Caenorhabditis elegans: one gene and its partner. The protein of the gene in region 1 purifies or fractionates together with the protein of each later gene. This does not show direct contact. Each region holds a gene or a part of one and is shown on either strand. Other genes may lie near its edges.

Evidence for each region.
Region 2: the proteins of meg-3 (region 1) and pptr-2 purify together in Caenorhabditis elegans (affinity purification with western blotting, with the first as the bait; one study listed by BioGRID). This does not show direct contact.

What each region holds. Positions count from the first base shown.
Region 1 is NC_003284.9:1,985,747-1,991,583, forward strand, and holds meg-3 (uncharacterized protein), read right to left. Parts: upstream 3,862-5,837; 5' UTR 3,860-3,861; coding exon 3,802-3,859; intron 3,757-3,801; coding exon 2,235-3,756; intron 2,189-2,234; coding exon 2,078-2,188; intron 2,032-2,077; coding exon 1,885-2,031; intron 1,837-1,884; coding exon 1,702-1,836; intron 1,571-1,701; coding exon 1,281-1,570; intron 1,233-1,280; coding exon 907-1,232; 3' UTR 723-906; downstream 1-722. Other genes in the region: Y40A1A.2 (F-box domain-containing protein), read left to right, coding at 4,988-5,071, 5,124-5,200, 5,247-5,301.
Region 2 is NC_003283.11:11,026,739-11,032,648, reverse strand, and holds pptr-2 (Serine/threonine protein phosphatase 2A regulatory subunit), read left to right. Parts: upstream 1-1,824; coding exon 1,825-1,969; intron 1,970-2,140; coding exon of another isoform or gene 2,141-2,186; intron 2,187-2,728; exon of another isoform or gene 2,729-2,844; intron 2,845-2,864; exon of another isoform or gene 2,865-3,005; intron 3,006-3,261; coding exon 3,262-3,327; intron 3,328-3,366; coding exon of another isoform or gene 3,367-3,378; coding exon 3,379-3,471; intron 3,472-3,517; coding exon 3,518-3,831; intron 3,832-3,874; coding exon 3,875-4,936; intron 4,937-4,992; coding exon 4,993-5,136; downstream 5,137-5,910.

The DNA of each region.
Region 1 (5,837 bases):
AGACACACCGATCCGCAAAATCATCTATGAGCAAATTCGTAAGAAAATATGAAACCTTGGGTAAAAATAATAACTAAAAACACAAATATGATTTTCTTAGCATGTCAGTGCTTCCGCGCACAAGCTTCGTTTAGGCCTTGACTGAATTTCACAGTACTCGATACTCAATCAGCTGCCACTGTCACCTAACAATATCAATCTTTTAGATTTTTTGTGTGAAGCATCTCTGAATCAAGAGCATTCTTTGAACTTTAAATTTTACTTGATAACTAATGAGTCCTCCGAGAAAAACATGAAAAACCCTGAAGCGTGCCTACTTGTCCGCCATCGTTGGTGCGTTTCCGAAACTTGTGAAGGCCTGTAGCAATGCGGACGGTGATATTTTCGAATTCAAAAATGGTATCTTATTTAGTTTTTCTCGGAGAACAAAACCTATATGATTATTTGTTTAATGTGTTTTTTGTTTTGGTTTTATGAAGCTTCAAAGTAGTGCGCATAATTATGGCCCACCCTGTATTAAAAAACGGAACTTTTCCAAACAAATCTGAAGCATCTGTTTTAAAATTGAATCCGTGACTACTATTTTGCCTAATGACAGTATTTAAATTTCACAAAAAAGATCTATGAGAAGATATGTATATTTTCAAATCAGTTACCAATCATCTTTTCTTAAATCTATTTCGAACTTTTCTTTTATTCTAGTTCCACTCCAAATCTTAAAGAATCGGCAATTCTTTATCAATCATCCAGACAACAATATAATACTACCCTCTACAAGTATCTGGGTAGACATAATACAAATTCACAAGGAGAAGCGAGTTGAAATATAACAAGAGTGGATAAAGGGTTAATGAACAAGAATAACATACAATATAGTCTACAAGTAATAGATATAAATTGGTACAATCATTGATCTCTGGGTGGGTCAAAAATAGATTCCAGCCAATCCCGTTTTACATTCAAGTATTTGATAGGATCCGATTTCCGAAGATGTGCAAGTAAACACGCATCAGCAATTGCGATGATATTCTTCTGTCCGATACACTCCTTCCACAACATGTAGAGCATATTGGTGGAGTCTGTGGAGCTGCTCGTATCGTCCAGCCGAGCCTGAACAAACGTGGCAGCAATCTCTTGCATAACTGCAAGCTGGTGAGGATTTCCTAAGCAGGCTTCAGCAAAACGGAGGAACCATTTTCTGAACATATTTCGCACAGGTGGAACTCTTGGATCTGAAAAAATTAAAGTTTTCAAGATTAAATATGTCTTATCTTTCTTACCATCGGCATAAGGACCATCCAATCTTGGAATTGTCTCGGTGCAAAAATAATTCAAGTACAGCCATCTTTCAGGTGACATCCCGTGAATATTCAAATTCACTTTCAGGAGTTGTGTCTTTTCTTTGTAGTTAGTATCAATGTAGTCGTTAAAGTCTTGCTGAGCTTCCAGGAATGCTGTCAAGCTTTCAGAAATGCGAGGTGGTGGCGAGGTTGAAGCTGGATCTTGAGTGCAATCTTGAGAAGGATATTCGATCCGATCGGCTGATTCACAAGGAAGTGGAGCCGGATCACTGAAAGAAATTTACTGTACTCAGAAAATAATTTTACAGGATTTGAATCAAGTTTTGAGCTCAATCTTTTCAGCTTGTACATTATTTTCCATATGCTTGATCGATAGCGGATTTATTAACTTGGACCTTACCTGGTGATTTCGAAGGGCCATTTCCCAGCTTGATTGTATACTTCAGCTGCACGAATTTCACAATTGATTCCACTTCTCTTCGGAGTTGGGCAACCATTACAATCCGTGGAAACTGGAATTCCGGTAATGTAAGAGCTGGAAAAGAAAATATGGAAATGTTGTTCGTTTTTTGTAAAGTCATACCTTTCCAGCGCCACAACCTTTGGAGTCAACTTTTGAGCAATTCGCTTTCCTGAAGCTGTTTCTTTTCCAGAAACTGTGACGGAATACATTGGTGATTTTGTAGCTTTAGAATCAACCACGCCAAGTGACTTGTTCAACTTTGAAGACCTGTAAAAAATATAATGAAATAAGAAGCTCCAAGTGTAAAACTAACTTGCTGGATGATGTCAGACATCTTTCTCCGATCAAAGCCTTTGGAGTTGGGATGATTGACGAGGAAGGTGTTCTCTTTACATCCACATTGTTCCGATTGATCTGATCCTTGCTGAAATTTAAATTTTTACTAAAGATTTTACTATTTCACTACATACCTTGAGGAAGCACGATTTGCAGATTTCGGCATCTCAGGGTCCCCATGAAGTAAACGTCTCATTTCCTCAACGTTGGCATCAAAAGTTCCTGTCCACTTTCTTCTTGAGATCTTTGGAGGAGAACTCGGCTGTGGACTTGGCGTGGGTTCCTCGTCTTCTTCAACAGTTTCCAGTGTCACATCAAGACTGGCCAGACGGGAGGCACTACGAGAACTTCCACGGCGCTTGATCGACAGTGAAGTTTTCTTGGGAAGACTCACTGGTAGGGTTTGGTTGTTAGCATCCACAAAACTGGAGTCAAAGTCTTCACCAATTGAGCAATTTAGATCACTTGCTGGTAATGTCCGATTCAAATTGCTGCATTCTCCATGAGAGCTGGAAGGCAAGTGAATCTGTTGTCCGATCTTCATGCTGACAATTTCCAATAACTGTTCAATGGAGAGTTCAGTGCCGTCCTTGCTGAATACATTGGATACCAGGTTACGTTTAGCCGCTTCTTCAGAAGATTTGCATTTTTCAGTCAATTGTTTACTGCCTGCATTCTGCTTTGAATAAGTCGATTGTTGAAGTTTCTTAGTGACTGATCGAGATCTCCGACCACGGGCAGCATCCATGGAATCGTCTATGAACACATCGTCAGTTAATTCATCGTCATTTGTGTTGAAGTAAGTACGATCCTGGAAGTTGCTGCTACCACGTGATTTTTTTCTGTCGTTTCTTGATTTCTGTTGTTGATTTTTCATCGATGAGGTTTCATGTGTAGGAAATCCAGAGAAGCTCTGGTTCAAATTCCGCGACTTAATAGCATCGTGCTTTTGGACAAGACTAGAATTGATAACCTCCTTTCCAGATGCATTTTTATTGTCCTTATGGCCTTTTTTAAAAGCGTGTCCATGAACTCCAGCTTGAGCGTTGAAGCTTTTATTTCCAAGACATTGCTGGTGAACATTGGTTTGTCGCAGTTTCTTAGAATTATTTTCTTGCTTCTGGAACCCAACGGGAACGGAACTCACACTGAATGACTTATTCCCAGCGTGACCATAATTGTTCGAACCATCCGAGAAGCTTAGGCCATGTTGTCCATTCTGACGACTTCTACTACGTCTTGTGTTTGATTGCTGAACGTCGTCCTGATCTGTGGATACTGGGAATCTTCGTTCATACCAGCTGGAGCTATTGCGTGTTTGCAAGTTGCGGCGGAAGTCTGCAGAGAAGACGGGGGCCGTAGGAGGAATACTGTTAAAGGCGTTGCTGCCGTTTCCTTGAGCTGCATGCATCGACTGATTGAATACTCGACCATGTCGAGTCATCGAGTGATTCAGCTGTTGGCCATTCATGAATGTATTCCCGTTGAATGATACGGATCCGTGATGAGATATCCCCGATTTTGCACCATATTCACGGCTTGTTGACTGAGCACTGTCTTGTTTTGCGATCGGATTGAACAATTCGTCAAGAGTGATTTGGTGTTCCATGTTGTTGGATGCACTTTCCTGATTGCTACGACTACTTGAGCGGCGACCTGAATTTACAAATTGAATGAAAAATTGATGCAAAAAACTCTCACCTCCTCTTTTTCTTCTCGAGTTTGGCAGACCGCTTGGGTAAGGTTTTGAGGAACTCATACCTGCAAAAATCAAAACTTAATGAAATATTGAAATAAATGAAATTTAAAAAAATACAACGAAAAAGAAAGACAGAGATGAAAAAATGCAAACCGGTGGGACCACGCAACAAGAATGAACACTTGAGTTAGGGAGATTGAGAGAGTGTGAGAGGTAGAGAAAGAGCGCGCGGAAATAGTGTGTGGCGAGACGGACAGGGGCGATGCGTGCGCGCGGTGAAAAAATAGTTCAAATGCGGCAGGGAATCAACAAAACAACACACACCGTTTGCATGGTATCGATCAGTTTTCAAGACTATCCAAGACTATGGAGTTTTGAGGAACAATTGGATTGATAGTTAATTCTCTAAAATATTGGATAATCACTGAATAATAAATGAGAAGAATAAATTTATAAAAAGAAACAGGATAATAGGCAGTAAAGGAGATGTTAATTAGAAAACCTGTAAGCGAAAAATCAAAACTAAAATAATTTTTTATCTCAAACTTTTTAAAAGAAACGGCGGAACATAATCCTGAATTCCTGAAAACGAGATGTAAAGGGTCGTTAAAATAGCTCCAAAAACGGATTTGTGCAGAGTTTTGAAATTTTTTAAAATTATTTTAATATAGGAATACTAAGTACCTGGAAAGTAATAAAAACTGCTTTATATAGAACATTGAAATCTTTTGTTTTTTAACATAAATTTTAAAAAATGTTTGGATATCCCAAACTAATAAGGATTCTTAACATTATTAATTCATAAAAATATGAAAAAATGTCTATTCAAAGGATTTTTTTTGATCGAAGACTTCTAAAAAGTTACAAAAACTGAGAATCTTCAAGTAGAAATTTGGTATTCCTTGGGACTTCAGATTATTCATATTTTATTTTTCAAATTATTCTCGATGGTTTTTTAATTTAAAAAACAACTCATCGACATTGATGCTTTCAAACAGGATAGATCTAATGTTACTAATTTCCTGCTACTATAGCTACTGCTACATTGTGCACAATGTATGATGTCACACACTTGGAGGATTTATAACCACTTTCTATGTATCGATTATACCATTTAGACGCTCGCCTGCTCCGTTAGTCTGCTCAGTGTTTTTTTTTTTCGATTACATATTTGAGTTACCATTTGGTATGAGCTCCTTTATTTCACAACTCTCCTCATTTATTTGTCTGAGATTTTTTAAACGTCGAGGTATCAGGACCCCGTCAAACAAGGCAAGAACATATGTATTTTACAGTTTTTCGTTTAATTTTATTGATTTTTTAGATTCAACCCTTTCACCTACTTGGTTTACCGTATCCTGCATTTCGGAATATTATACATCAATTGAAGTTGACTGAAGTGTGAGTTGAAGTAGGTTTTAATTATCTAAATGTCTATTGTTTTCAGAATAGAACTATCAAAAAATTCTGGTGAAACCAGATGTAGATTTAAAAAAAATTAATCGAAAAATCTACAAACTTCTTATCGACAACCGTGTTTTCCATGTTGATCTACCACCATTCCGAAATCCTAGTGATTTATTTTCAAGCAAAGTGATTGCTATAGAGACTTCAGAAGACATGTATTATCCTTTTAAGTCTGGTAAACTACTGACTTTAAGATATCCAAACCTTTTTTCAATCAGCATTACCAACTTTTGCATCTCTACGTTTTGGTAATTTTTTGATTTTTCTGCTAGTTTTTTCTCAAACATGTGTGATTTGTTTAGTCTGAATGACCTTAAACATTTGAAAACTTTCAAAAAGTTTTTACCTAACCATGTTTTAACATTTCACGGTAGTTCAAAAATTTTAGACCGGAGGGGTTGCTCAGTCGGTAGTGATGACCAGGCAGTGTACCTGACTCTCAGTTCCGCAGTGCATAGCACTTAAGTCGAGATCGTTTTTTAATCTTCAATTAATATAAACCCCAAGTAAATAAAACTCTACTGAAACAATTCTCATGCATCGCCATATAAAACTGTAATTTTTTCAGTGA
Region 2 (5,910 bases), on another chromosome or scaffold:
CTTTGATTTTCAAAACAGAAATATGATGCCAATACTGGCGCCCAGACCCCGGGACAAGATTTCATTTCTTCAACTAGTTTCACCCTCCGTCATCACGTGTCAGTTTTTAACGATTTCTAACAAAAATGTATGTTTTTGTGTCTAGGAACGGCAATGTTGAATATTTTGTTTTTCTAGAGTCTTACTTGTTTCAGCTTCGATGAAACCCGTTTTTTTAAATATAATTGAAAAGTGGATAAAAATTGGTTCATTATAATTAGAGATAGTTTAAAACAATACCCTAAAAATCCCAACAGTTAGAAGGGACTTATTCATTAATTAGTTGCTGGCTAAGTTTTCTATTTATATAATTACTCTCGAAATTTATCAATCGATTCTTGGACTTTTTTGTTCCGCAGACGCCGGCGGAGTTTACAAGCGTACGATGTGGTTCAACTTTTAAAGCTTTATAAATGGGGCATGTATGAATATTTCGAATTCTAAATCTATAATATTAAAACACAAACGCATCTAAATTATTGGTGTCGATAAGTATTTTTCAAGCGGTGAATCATCTGTGTTCACACAAATAACCAGATAAAAATGAATAAAAACATTTTAAGCTTGTTTAGAAAATTAATTAGTTTAAAACTTGATTCAAGACGGCACGATGCTTCTGACCGTTTTTATCCTTTCTAATTTATTTTTTTTATCGTATTACTTGCAATGGCATCACTTGATCACTGAACCTTCAAGGAAAAATAGAATGTTAAATTCAGAAAAAGTCTTAAATCTAGAAAAAAAAAACTCGGTGCACAAAAGTACATCAATTTTTTGTCTGTGATCAGCTACAATTCATTGCATATTCGTATAGAATATATTAAAAAAAGTTCCTAGATTTATTACTCGTTTTTTCACCAGTTATTTCTGCTTTCTTACGAAAACGCCTTTTCTCATTTTGCTTGTCAAAAAACACGCGATATGTGAGCCACAACAGAATTCTAATTGCTTGTTTCTATGTTGGGGGCACCACACAATTTCACCTGTTTTTCAGCAATCCAGCACGACCGCTATTTTCTTTGCTTCATGGGTTCACTTTTGGCAAACCCATAAAATATTTCGTATACTTATATGTCAAGTATTTGTATCTTACGAGTAAGACTGCCAAATTCTTCCTGCTCTCTTTTTTTCATCAGAATCTGATCCTTGACATCGTCTACTCTTTTACTCTCAAAAGAGCAGCAGTAATTGGAAATTGAAGAGGATGAAGCTCGATCTTTAAGGAAAAAACGAGAGAAAAGAAGTGGGCTGGTTAATCGAAAATTGCGCTGAAAAAGCAGAAGACGAGCTGTAGGAAAAAACGACAAAGCGTGGGAAGAGGGACGGCGCCGTTTGCTCCGCGCTTTTTATTTTTCGTCTTCCGATTTCCGAAGTGACGATGGTTTTTAAGTAAAGACAGATGATTTTTCTCATTCATGTAGTGATGTCATTTTTTGTTAGTTAGAGCCACATGGAATTCCATGGTTTTGCATTCCATTAATTCCTCTCCTACAGTTAATCATACTGCTTGAGATTGCATTTATTACATAGGTTACTGTAGTTTTCTAAAAAACAGATTTGGGTGCATATGTGCATGTTATCATGTGTGTTCTCAGTTTTTCCCCGTTGCTTTGAAAACATAATATCTCTTGTCAACAACGTTTTTCCACTTTTGAAACAATGAAAAATGGTCACTTGCTCAGTTTGTTGTCCCTTGTATTCTCTTTTTAATTTTTTAAAGGTCTCTTCATACTTTTATTGAATTTTTCATGTTGTTAATTTCAGGCGGTCGGCTCCGCATCCGCAATGTTGAGATCAAAGAAGAAGGACAAGGAAAATGGGAAATCAGAGAAAAAGGACAAAGAGAAGGATAAGAAATCAATGAAAGATGACGGTGCTGGAAGCAGTAAGGCATCTACAATTCCTACGATCCGAACAGAAGATGTTGGAGGTAAATTAATGTTTTGATTATTCGGGAAAGATGATAACACAAAATTTTAAAAAAGTCAATTTCAATAAAATCTCACGTGAATCTATATTCTTCCACGGTTCTCCGAGAGCATAATTTTTCATCATTTCTTTCTAACCATCGAGTAATTTCAACCATCAACCAAAGATAGCAATGAATAAAATGCCACAGAGATCAAAGAAAAGACGACAGAAAACGAGTAAGTAGTCTAAATTATTTGAGAACATTTAGGAGTAAGAGTGGTTCCTATCGTAGAGTTTTGAGAATTCTTCGAAACGAGCGGAGATCGTTGTGAGACCCTGTGAAGACAATACAGCGAGCCTATAAAGTTTAGATTACGGCGTGTCGAATTTTATCATGAAAACATATACTATTCGGAAACAAAAACAACATGATTCGAGATTAAGGTTTTGATTAGAGTTTTCTTCAGTAAATAATTTTTGAAGCTGTCCTCCCTTTCAGCATCTTATAGTTCTCGAGGTAGGCAGGTTTTTGACCACTTGCATTTTTTTGAATAACTGAAATGGATGCAAAGTATAAATAAGTAGAAATGTATCGGATCTGAAATCAAATGCACTACATTTTATGAAGATATTGAGTGAAAATATTTATCAGTTAGATGGGGGAGGAACAAGCCATCCAACCAACAACAAGAAATCTGTGAGCCCTCAAGGCACACTATTGATGTCCAACTTTTCCACAAACTCCTTCAAACTCTTCTTCTTTTTGCCCCCCCCCCCCCATTTTCTTTATTTCTCACAGAAAAAACGACCTTCTTTCTTCTCTGCGCCTGTCTTGCTCCTTTAGATTTCTTTTCTATCATCAATTTACCCTACTCTTCTTCTATTTCTCGCGTTATTTTGTATCACGGAAGAAGGTATTAGAAATAATTCGAATAGGATAGTTGGAACGGATTAGGACTCCAGCTCAATTAGTTTGATTGTGTTTTTTTGGTTTGTTACGCCTTTCCTGTAGTCTTTTTGCAGCGCATACCAAAGAAAAAAACATTTTAGTGTTCTGGAGAAAATATTATTTTGTTCATAGTAGATATTTTCTTACAAACGCTTAGACATTTCGCTATTTCCCCAACTTCACGAAACAACTTTTGTAGTGTACATTTGAATTTGAATTTCCCGCGTAAATGCTCGACGAGGCCGCAGAAATCGAAAATGGGATAGTTAGTCCACCACTAGTGTACTCCTCTCGGATAAATTTTTTTTTGAATCACAATCATTGATTTTTCCATTTTCGGCCCTCATATTTATCATTTCTAGGAGATATGATTCCTGCAGATGCACCACCACCAACAAATATTGGCCGAACAAACACGTACGGAGGAGGTTAGTGTTTAAACGAAGACTAATTAACTATAGAGACAGATTTAATTTCAGGGCCAGTGATACCGCGAAGAGAGCGCCGCCAATCAAGTAGCATGTTCAACATTTCACAAAACAGAGAGCTGCAAAGACTTCCAGCTATCAAAGGTAATAATGTTTTTTTTAATTACCGTATTGATAAACTCGTTTTTAGATGCGGATCCGAGCGAGAGAGAAACACTGTTCATTCAAAAACTTCGACAATGCTGCGTTGTTTTTGACTTTGCCAATGATGCTCTCAGCGATTTAAAATTCAAAGAAGTCAAACGGGCAGCTCTAAATGAACTCGTCGACCACGTTTCCGGAGCTCCAAAAGGATCGCTATCTGATGCTGTCTATCCAGAAGCTATCGGCATGTTCTCCACTAATCTTTTCCGTCCTTTGAGCCCACCGACCAATCCAATTGGTGCTGAATTTGACCCCGATGAAGACGAACCAACATTAGAAGCTGCCTGGCCACATCTGCAGGTAATATTTATTTTCTGCTCTTATTTAAAGTAAATATTTTCAGCTCGTCTACGAGTTTTTCCTGAGATTCCTGGAGTGCCCCGATTTTCAATCTCAAGTTGCAAAACGTTACATTGATCAAAATTTCATTCTTCGTCTTCTCATGATTATGGACAGTGAAGATCCACGTGAACGTGACTTTCTGAAGACAACTTTACATCGAATTTATGGAAAGTTCCTCGGACATCGTGCTTACATTCGGAAGCAAATCAACAACATTTTCTACTCGTTCATCTACGAAACTGAGAGGCACAACGGGATTGCTGAATTACTCGAGATTCTAGGTAGCATTATCAATGGATTCGCTCTTCCCTTGAAAGAGGAACACAAAACTTTCTTGCTCCGAGTTCTTCTTCCGCTACACAAGGTCAAATCATTATCTGTATATCATCCTCAACTCGCGTACTGTGTCGTACAGTTCATTGAAAAAGACTCATCACTGACAGAGCCTGTAATCAGTGGGATGCTACGCTTCTGGCCAAAACAACATAGTCCCAAGGAAGTGATGTTCCTGAATGAATTGGAAGAAGTCCTCGATGTGATAGAGCCGAATGAGTTCCAAAAAATCATGACTCCATTGTTCTCACAAATTGCTCGCTGTGTCAGCAGTCCACACTTCCAAGTTGCCGAACGAGCTCTCTACTATTGGAATAATGAATATGTGATGTCATTAGTAGCGGACAATGCTCGTGTGATAATTCCAATAATGTTCCCTGTTCTTTTCAAAAACAGCAAGTCACATTGGAATAAAACGATTCATGGACTTATCTACAACGCCCTCAAGATGTTCATGGAAATGAATCAAAAACTGTTTGACGAGTGTTCCCAAGCTTATCAGAAAGATCGAGTTCAAGAAAAGACATTGAATGAAGAAAAAGAACGCATCTGGAACAATATTGAGAAACAGGCAATGGGAAACCCGCAATATGTTGAAGTTAAAGCACTATTTGCTCGATTTAATCCAGATGAAATCATCAGCTCGCGTCAGCAGAATGGAGTTGACGAGAATATGAAGACTTCAACTGTGCTTAGCAAGGATGAAATTCTGAAAAATGCTGTAGGAGTGGTAAGTTACAAAAACCTAGAAATATTTTTTTTTTGTACAATAACGAATCATTACAGAGCTCGATGAAAAACGATATGGATTTCGGACCCAACCACAAACAATCCGATTTCCCTCCAGATGAGCAAACGACGAGAGCTTTAGGCGAGTACAAGCGTCACGATCCATTTTTGAAGAAAGTGACTAGCACCGACGAACAGTGATGCAGAAGACTTCAACGGGTGCCAATTTCTCCATGTTGTGCCGGGTTTATTATACGATGATTCGACTTCCTTACCCAGTTTCCGTTCCTTTCTTAAAATATTGACCATTCCATGACCCTTATCACCGTTTTATTGCTCTCCAAAATTGCCCTTAATCACATCTATGTTTGCGTACCTGTAAATATTTCGAAACTTATTTCAGTTTTATCAATATGCACCATAAATTCCATCTCTCCTCACCATCATCGCAAATCCAAATGCGACTTTTCATTGTGTAATAATTTCCCCCATTTTGGTAGTGATTTGGATTTAGATGTTATAAATGAATCGAGAAGCCATGTGAAATACATTAAAATCTGCATAGGAATAATCATGGGAATATATATTAGGCAGAAGGTTTACGAGGGGTTTGGCTCATTTCATCCAAATCCTTCTTTATATGTTCTTTTTCGAATGCTAACCCCACTCTTTGCACATCAATATGCACTTATGTATGAAATACACGAAATGAGACGAAGGAGCATTATAAGCGTTTAGGAATAAACAAAGAACTGAAAAAGCAGAGAGAAGATCATAAATCCATGAGACGAATTTTTGTTTGTTTCTGACTCACTTCGTCATATTTCTTCTCCAGGGTTTACTTTATCTTTTTTTTTCTTATGATTTCTCTGTTAGTCTTTGGAACATTTTACTTTAAAACTCATTATCGCAAAGTCGCTTTCATTTATTTTTAAACAAGATTTATAAAACTTTAACAGGATGATTCGTTGTATT